Linked DNA regions of Macaca fascicularis. The protein of the gene in region 2 purifies or fractionates together with the protein of the main gene of each other region. This does not show direct contact. Links are inferred from orthologs where the notes say so. Each region holds a gene or a part of one and is shown on either strand. Other genes may lie near its edges.

Region 1 (4,508 bases), on a different chromosome or scaffold from region 2:
CCTACCCTCAAGTACTTCCCAGCAGGGCCAGGTCGGAAGGTATGGGGGACAGGTGCCTGGGGAAGCTGGGATGCCATCCTCCTGGGCATGGGGCTGGGCCTGGCCTGTCCTCCAGAGCCTCCTGCCTCTCCTCAGGTGATTGAATATAAAAGCGCCAGGGACCTGGAGACCTTGTCCAAGTTCCTGGACAACGGGGGCGCGGTGCCCACGGAGGAGCCCACGGAGGAGCCGGCAGCCCCGTTCCCGGTGGGTGTCCCTAAGCCAGGGCTCCAGGCCTCTGCACAAACCGTCTTTACACGGGGCTGGTGGGGCGGGGGCAGGGGTAGGCTGGGAGCAGAGCTCCGAGCTGTACTTGTGACCCGTTCTAGGAGCCACGGGCCAACTCAACCGTGGGGTCCAAGGAGGAGCTGTAGCTACCCCCGTGTCACTCCCCTCCTCACCGCTGGACAGGAGGGCACCTCCTTGGGTGCTGGAGGGAGCTGTGCATTGTGAATAAAGAGCTTGGTTCTGGACTGTGTGTGCCTGATCCCTCAGCAAGGCTGGCCTGATGCAGCTCTGCCCAGACGCGGGCTCCTGGGAAGGAAGGTGGAGCACGTTCATGCTCTAGCTTGGCCAGCCTCTGAGTCACAGGACGACCCCCATGCCTGCTGGAGGCCAGCATGACCTTAACCACAGGGGCTGAGGCTGGGAGACCCAGGCCAGGCCCCACTGGCAGCAGACACACCACAGCCAGGGCAGGTTCAAAAACAGTTTTATTTATTATCCAAGTACCTTTGAAAAGATAATTGTACAAGTGTCATCGCATGAAAAACAGACCTGGGCAGCCCCTGCTGGCCCTGGCCTGAGAAATGTACATATTTACATGGGCCCTCAGAAAGGAGGACCCGGGACCGCGCAGCCGGCAGCTGGAGGCAGGTGCAGTACCCCGTCGCCGGCTCACACAGTGGCAGGCAAGAGACAAGCTGTGTTGAAGGCACTCGGTGGCGAGTACAATTGACAGAGGCCCTGCAGGCCTCTGCGCCCAGGCCTGGGGCTGCGCCCAGCCAGACCAGGGTACGTGGGCAAATCCCAGAGGGAAAAACAGATCCCAGCACACGTGCCCAGGGGAGGCGCCGGGGCGTCGCTTGAAGCCGGCAGCAGGGACCCTGGCTGCCCCACTTGGGCTAGGCCCTCCAAGTATTGCTATGGGGAGTGTCCGGCTGCCTCCTCGGGGGCAGGACAGAAGCCTGTGGACCACGCGGAGGGACCCCTACCCACCCAGACACGGTCAGACTGCAGGGGTGGGCGGCGCCCCCACGCTGTTCTCTATCGGGCTCCTGAGTACGAGGTCATCCGCCTGGCTGTGACACCTGTGCCCACCGAGGGCCTCGCCTGGTGCAGCGGTCAGCCCGCCAGCTGGTCAGTCCACCTTCTCCACTTTGCCAATTATCTTCTCCTCAAAGACGGGCAGGACGGCCTCATCCTCTCGAACCTCCTCGAACACCACCCCACAGTCAAACTCGTCGCTCACTTTCTTGAAGTAGTATCTGCAGGATGGAGGTGAGGAGCACAGTGAGCAGGCAGTGCCGCAGATGGGAGGAGGCCTGTGGCGGGGACGGCGTGTCCACACCCCCATCCCCAGGAGCCTCCTGTCCATGCCCCACCGCCCCCACCACTCCCACCACGTGCGCCCCTCCCAGGGCAACAGTGAACAGTGCAATGACCGCATGTGGGTGAAGTGGCAGCTACAGGGGGTGAGTTTACTGCCTGCTGGGAGGCACCCTACAGCCCCCTAGGAGTACCTGCCCCAGCCTCTCAGGAGGTGCAGGGGGGAAGTGGATGGGTGTGGGGTATCTGCTTCCCAAGGGCTGAGCCCTGTCATGGAAGTGACCCCGACTGGGGCCCTCCCTCAGCACCACATCTGCAGACACAGTCCACGGGTGTCTGCAGTCGCTTGTGGACAGAGGGAACCACCTCTGCCAGGCTCTTGTGGTCAGGCCCCCTCTGCTCACCCCCCAGTGCTCACTCAGGAGCCTCCAAGACTGGCTGCAGGCAGGCCCTCAGGGCTGAGGGGCCCAGGCCCAATGAACGTTGGTAGGATGGGGCCTGGCTTTTCAGTTGGGCAAAAGGAGCTGAATCCAGAGCCTAGAGACAAGGCTGGCCCAGGGGAGCCCGACACAAGGTTCAGACCATTGTTGTCTGGGCCTCTGGCTGTTTTCTCACCCCGAAGCTGAGGGCCCTGGAAGGAGTCCCTTAGGGACCCTCTCAGTCCTGTGGGGCCGAAGGCCTGAGGCCATCCTCAGCCCAGGGCTTGGAGAACTGGCGTAGGTGCAGATGAGGGACAGGAGCTGAAACAGCCGGAAAGCCTTTTTTTTTTTTTTTTTGGATAGAGACGGAGTCTCGCTCTGTCATCCAGGCTGGAGTTCTGGGGAGCAGTGGTGCGATCTCGGCTCACTGCAACCTCCGTCTCCTGAGTTCAAGCAATTCTGCCTCAGCCTCCCAAGTAAATGGGATTACAGGCACCCGCCACCACGCCTGGCTAATTTCTTTTGTATTTTTAGTAGAGAGAGGATTTCACCATGTTACCCAGGCTGGTCTCGATCTCCTGAGCTCAGGCAATCTGCCGGTCTCTGCCTCCCAAAATGCCAGGATTACAGAAGTGAGGCACCATGCCTGGCTAGAAACCCTCTTTTTCGTACTGCTGGGCACCCACGCACCCCTGCAGGGAGTGGGCACCCCAGCCCTCACACTCACCTGTAGCTGCCCTTTTTGGTCAGCAGCTCCTTGAACTGGCCCAGGGTGACAGCGCGGCCCCTCACCAGGGTGCGGTAGGGGATAGGCTCCCCACAGAAGTAGTATGCCACAACGATGCTGTCACACGGCTGGGCACTCCCGCCGCCCGCCTTCCTCTGCGATCTCGTCCTGGGGAAAGAGATGCAGCAGTGGTCCCTGGTTTTGGACTGAGGTCCCACAGGGTGCCTCCTGCTGGCCTCAGGCTGCCAGCAAAGGGTGGGGCAGGCCTGCAAACACCTGGGGCCCCAGGCCCCACTGCCCCCCCGCCGCAGCATCTCAATCTGGGGTCTACTCCACCAGCAGTGGAGTCTGACTCCACTCACTGGCAGCACAAAGGTCTCCCCGCTGCCTCACAGCCCCACCCTCGACTGGACAGGGCCTGGCCACTGGGCGCACTGCAGCTCTCACCTCTAGGATGGCAGGGCAGGCTGCATGGCTCCTATGCCAGGAAGACCTACGGCCCCCAAACCTTAAAAACATCTCAAGGGCAGGGATTGGACAAACAGAACTATGCACGATTTCTGGATGAGCCTGACCCCACAGTGAAGTCTGTCCCAGGACTGTTGCGGGTGCGGCCAGCAGGCCCTTCAGAGGGGGTGGGGCTGGCACCGTCTCCTGCCCAGGCTGAGCTGGGCCCTCCTCTTACAGGGGCTGTGCTTCCACTCACACCCTCTGCTTGGCTCCCCTGCCACCACCTGTCCCTCAGATGACTCCAGAAGCTGCCCCTGGCCCACTGGGGTTCAGGCCTCGGGCCTCCTGCTGGCTGCGTGCACTAGAGGCTGCCAGAGTCGACATCATGGCAGGAAGGCCTCACGGCCACCTCAGCCAGGTGACCGTCCACTTCGCACACCAGGGCCCCCACCCACCTGCATTCTTGGACTTTCTCCCAGAGCCACATCCTTGCAGCCCCCTGGAGCCAGGCCCATAGGAGAATGAGCCAACATGTGGGGGCTGCCCCAAGGACGGGTGAAGGCCCCTCCAAGACCCCCTAGAGGATGACAGCCACAACAAACCTGCATCTGGGGCAAGCCTGGTAAGGCCTGGGGGACCCCTGTTCTCAAGGCCCCTTTTGGGATATGCCCCTCCTGCCACCTTGAGCACACAAAGGCGCCACTGACACAGCCCATGTGGGATCACGTGGTATGGACACAGTAAGCCTTTCTCACGGGCTCGGAGTGGTCAGCACTGCAGGTGGGAGCAGAGCCCTGACTCACGGACTGCACGGACTGGACAGACGCACATAGTTGAGACCCACACTGCAAGCTGACGCACCTCGCGCACCTCAACACCTGCAGCCCCGACCCTGCTCAAGCCAGGTCTGCGGGGACCAGCCAGTTCCAAGCCGGGTGGGGCCAGGGGCAGGGGTAGGTCTCTGCCCCACAAGGGGCCTCCCATGACACCTGTGTGGATACAGGGCTGGCTGTGCCCAGGCCTCCAGCCGGGCCTGTTGGTCACTTATCGTCATGCTGGACAGTCAGCATCTCCTCTGATGGAGACGGGAGAAGGCTCTTGGGCAGCTTGGAGTCTGATGCCGTGGGACCCTCTCCTGCCACAGCTGCTTCTCAGCGTGGTACCTGAGCTCAGGCCCCAGGACGGCAGCTCTACCATGGGACCTGGCTTGAGACGCCTGGGCTGGGTGGGCAGGACCAGGAGGACCCTCAGGACGCACGTACTCTGTCTCGGAGAGCTCCATGTCCGACACGGCTGGTACCACGCGCAGCACTGGCGCGCACGCT
Region 2 (4,526 bases):
ATTTACAAAGTGCTACAAGATTATATTATTAAGTGAAAAGAGCAAGGTATATAAAGTGATCCTGGCCAAGTACAGTGGCTCATGCCTGTAATCTCAGCATTTCGGGAGGCTGAGGTGGGAACAGAGCTTGAACCCAGGAGTTGGAGAGCAGATTGAGCATAGTGAGACCCCATCTCTATTAAAAAAAAAAAATTAGCTGGGCATAGTGGCACCACCTGTGCTCCCAGGTACTCAGGAGGCTGAGGTGGGAGGATCGCTTGGGCCCAGGAGGTCAAAGCTGCAGTGAGCCGTGTTCAAACCACTGCACTTCAGCCTGGGTGGCAGAGTGAGAGAGAGACCCTGTCTCTAAATTAAGTTTTCTCTTTTGTAGACATTTTAGAAAATCTTAAGTCTGTGAATGTATTGGCCTTTTTTCTCCACAAACACACACACACACACAAATCGTCAACAGTAAGTTACATTTGGGGAGAAGGAAGAGGGACTTTAATTTTTTGTTTTGTATTTTTCCTTTTTGTGGTGTGTAAGATGTGTATATATCAGCTGAGTATATTGTGATACAGGATCACAGACCTTAGAGGAATTTTCTTTATATTATTTTGCATTTTTTTAACCCAAAGCATTTATGAAATTACTGGGATAGAGAAAAGAAAGAGTTTTCTTGTGATTAGGAGTGGGTAGGTGAGTTTAAAGTAGTCAGACTGAAAACTTTTTTATAAAATCATTCTTCATAGTGTATTTGATACTAAGAATCAGAATTTGTCCAACATGGAAGGAAAAAAACAATGCAGTTGTGTTTTCTATGTATTAAATTGACTCTTCAGTTTTAGTCTTTCTTAATCTAAATAGCTCTCTCTGCTGAAGAAATAGAAAACGTGCAGTGAGAACAAACCATCTTGGAGACTATGAGGACAGCAGAATCCATTTGAGTGAATACTTCACCTGAACATTTTGATGTACTTAGCCTTGTTGATTTAAATAATAAGGAATAGGATATATTTGATCAAATCCTAAAATCCTAAAAGTTGAAAGACTGTTAGAGAAAACCTCCCATCCGGTGGATGAATCTTTATAGACTTTTTGATAACAGAAAATCCTCCCACTTCTGCTTCATTTCTCTCTGTTCAGGATGTAAATGTAAGGGTTATGAGGTCGATGCACATGTGCTTGTGTATCAGAAGTTCCAGTCGTGCAAAGCTTCAACACTCTGGCTTTTTCTCCACAGATTGCTAGTGCAACGACTGCTCCATCGATCCCTTCACATTTGTCTCCCGGCTTACGAGATGTGGCTCTTCGTTGTTTAGAACTTCAACCTCAGGACAGGCCTCCATCAAGAGAGCTACTAAAGCATCCAGTCTTTCGTACTACGTGGTAGCCAGTTATGCAGATCAACTACAATAGAAACAGGATGCTCAACAAGAGAAAAAAACTTTTGGGGAACCACATTGATATTCTACTGGCCATGATGCCACTGAACAGCTATGAACGAGGCCAGTGGGGAACCCTTACCTAAGTATGTGATTGACAAATCATGATCTTTACCTAAGCTCAGTATGCAAAAGCCCACAACTAGTGCAGAAATTGTAAACCGTGCCTTTCAAAGAACTGGCCTAGGTGAACAGGAAGACAGTGAAGTTTGCATGACTAAATTGCAGAAGCATAATTTTATTTTTTTGGGGCACTTTTTCAGCAATATTAGCGGCTGAGGGGCTCAGAATCTATTTTAATATTTGAATTATTCTTCCATTTCATATAGTGATCACAAGCGGGGGTTCTACAATTCCGTTCAGATTTTTTGTCACTGGCTATAAAATCAGTATCTGCCTCTTTTAGGTCAGAATATGCTATGAGTAGCATTACATACATATATTTTTAAAAGTTGATACTTCTTTATGACCCACAGTTGGCCTTTATTTTCTTAAACACCTGGGCAATTGTGGCTCATTGTGCATTTTACTGTTGGCCCATTCATTTCGTTTTTGGAAATTATGGTTTTGTATTTTCATTTTTATTTACATTCATTTTTGTTTATTCAGGGAAAGGTGATCTTTTTTTTCAAACCAGAAAAAAAAAAAAAAAAAAAAAAACTAGGTATGAACAAGAGTTCATTAAATATCTTGCTATTGTAAAAGTTTTTAAAATACAGACTTAATTTTGTTTTTTATATTGGAATACAATAAAGTACTACCTACATTTGAGTCAGTCACCACTTTTATTGTGCAGGTTAAATATAAACTAAAAATTAACTGTCCTCTGTGATGCAACTCACAACGAAGATCAAGATTACCTTAAAATTTATTTGAATTTTTTAAGATGTTTTGGTTGTCAAACTGTAGGAAACTTCACAACATTTAAGTCTTATTCTGTATGTAACAATCCATCATTCACCTTCACTACTGGTAATAACATATGACTGCCATTTTCCTTTTACCATGCATCATCTCTTTACAGTAGGCCTGGCAGATCATTTTTAAAAAAGATTATTCAACTACCAATCAGTAATGTTTTTTAAGAATACATTTGCTTTGAACTTGGAAAATGTGTTCAGAAAGAAAAGTGGAATTGAATTTCATTTATACACTAATTCCTTGGATTTTGCACAGTTACCTAATGGTTTTAGTCTGGAGTTAAATTCAGATGCATGGAATCCTGAAGGAAAATGGTAGCTTTTTAATCTTTTTGTGTGTGTGTGAGTCTTTTAAATCAAATACTGATTAACTATTAAATACAACTTTTGAGATTTTAGTTTTAACTCTTCAGAAGCCAGTGTGAAATAGAATTGGTTATTCTCAAAGACTCAGGATAAACTAAATAAGCTATATAGAGTACATTTAAAATGTACAACACAAATTGGAAATACAATAAGTTACAAGATAAGTTTACAGGGATATATTGCTTATAATTTTTAAAAGGCAGTTTGTTTTTTATGTGAATATGTTTCTTAGTGAAATTTTACATTCCTTTGTTTTGGAAGATTGGCGATATTTGAAGAGTTAAAAATAGTACAGAAATGTGAAGTTTGGTAGCTCTAAATGTGTTGTACTTGACTTTCTGTTTTATTTTGTGTTTTTTTTTTTTATTTTTTATTTTTTGACTACTTAGAATTTCCACAATTCTAATAAGATTGTTTCCAAGTCTCTCATGTGCAAGCTTTAAAGGATGCACTCTTGCCATTTTATGTACTGGAAGATCATTGGTCAGATGAATACTGTGTCTGACAAAAATGTAAACTGTATAAACTGAGGAACCTCAGCTAATCAGTATTACTTTGTAGATCACCATGCCCACCACATTTCAAACTCAAACTATCTGTAGATTTCAAAATCCATTGTGTTTGAGTTTGTTTGCAGTTCCCTCAGCTTGCTGGTAATTGTGGCATTTTGTTTTTTGTTTTGTTTTCAATGCAAATGTGATGTAATATTCTTATTTTCTTTGGATCAAAGCTGGACTGGAAATTGTATCGTGTAATTATTTTTGTGTTCTTAATGTTATTTGGTACTCAAGTTGTAAATAACGTCTACTACTGTTTATTCCAGTTTCTACTACCTCAGGTGTCCTATAGATTTTTCTTCTACCAAAGTTCACTTTCACAATGAAATTATATTTGCTGTGTGACTATGATTCCTAAGATTTCCAGGGCTTAAGGGCTAACTTCTATTAGCACCTTACTGTGTAAGCAAATGTTACAAAAAAAAAAAAAAAAAATCTCTGGGTTAAGAAAATTTGGCTTAAATGTATCCTTTGTTATTTTAAATATATTGAGATATTTTAATTAAAATTTTTACCCCATTGAACCGATTTTATAGTATTTGTACCTATTTTGGTGTTTTTGTCTTTATAGTAAATAAAAGTTTTTGAACAAATGTTGTTACTTTTATTTATTTTGAAATAATTTCATACTTATATAAAAGTTGCAAGAATACCACAGAGAACTTCTGTATACCCTTCACCCAAAGACCCTAGTCAGGTTTCGCCAGCTGCCCATTTATGTCCTTTATAGCAAGAGGATCCAAACCAGGATCACAAGTTGCTCTCAGTTGTCATGTTTCTTCAGTCTCATTGAATCCAGGGCCATTCTTAGTTCTTCCTTGACCTTAATGGCCTTAATTTTTTAAAGATTTCAGATTATTATTTTATAGAAGCCCCTCAAATTGAGTTTGTCTGGTGCTGCTTCTTAATTAGATTCAGAGTACACACTTTTGGCAGGAACATCACAGGTGATGCTGTGCTCCTCTCGGTGTGTCATGTCAGGATGCAGACAGGTCGTTTGCCCCGTCACTGGTGATAACTGATAGTAACACTGTATAGTTACTCTTTCCTTTTATAATTAAAATCCACCTTTATAATTGAAAGTATTTAGGGGCGATATTTGAGACTACATAAATATCACGTTTCTTGCCCAGTTTTAACTCTCTGCTCTTAAGCTTTTTTGCCTGAATATATTACTCTGATGGTTGCCAGATGGTGATCTAGTTCCTTCACTTCTTTGCAGCATTTTGCTGCAAAGAAGAGCTTTCCCTTCTCCCATT

Evidence for each region.
Region 1: the proteins of MAP3K1 (region 2) and AXIN1 purify together in Homo sapiens (affinity purification with western blotting; 5 studies listed by BioGRID and IntAct, with this or other methods). This does not show direct contact. The link is inferred for Macaca fascicularis from reciprocal best matches to the Homo sapiens genes MAP3K1 and AXIN1.

The regions. Positions count from the first base shown.
Region 1 is NC_088394.1:1,039,760-1,044,267, forward strand, and holds the end of AXIN1 (axin-1), read right to left. Parts: coding exon 4,446-4,508; intron 2,902-4,445; coding exon 2,734-2,901; intron 1,527-2,733; coding exon 1,400-1,526; 3' UTR 735-1,399; downstream 1-734. Other genes in the region: PDIA2 (protein disulfide-isomerase A2), read left to right, coding at 1-39, 136-246, 369-413. UniProt on the Homo sapiens protein: Component of the beta-catenin destruction complex required for regulating CTNNB1 levels through phosphorylation and ubiquitination, and modulating Wnt-signaling.
Region 2 is NC_088380.1:62,329,050-62,333,575, forward strand, and holds the end of MAP3K1 (mitogen-activated protein kinase kinase kinase 1), read left to right. Parts: intron 1-1,222; coding exon 1,223-1,372; 3' UTR 1,373-3,860; downstream 3,861-4,526. UniProt on the Homo sapiens protein: Component of a protein kinase signal transduction cascade. Activates the ERK and JNK kinase pathways by phosphorylation of MAP2K1 and MAP2K4. May phosphorylate the MAPK8/JNK1 kinase.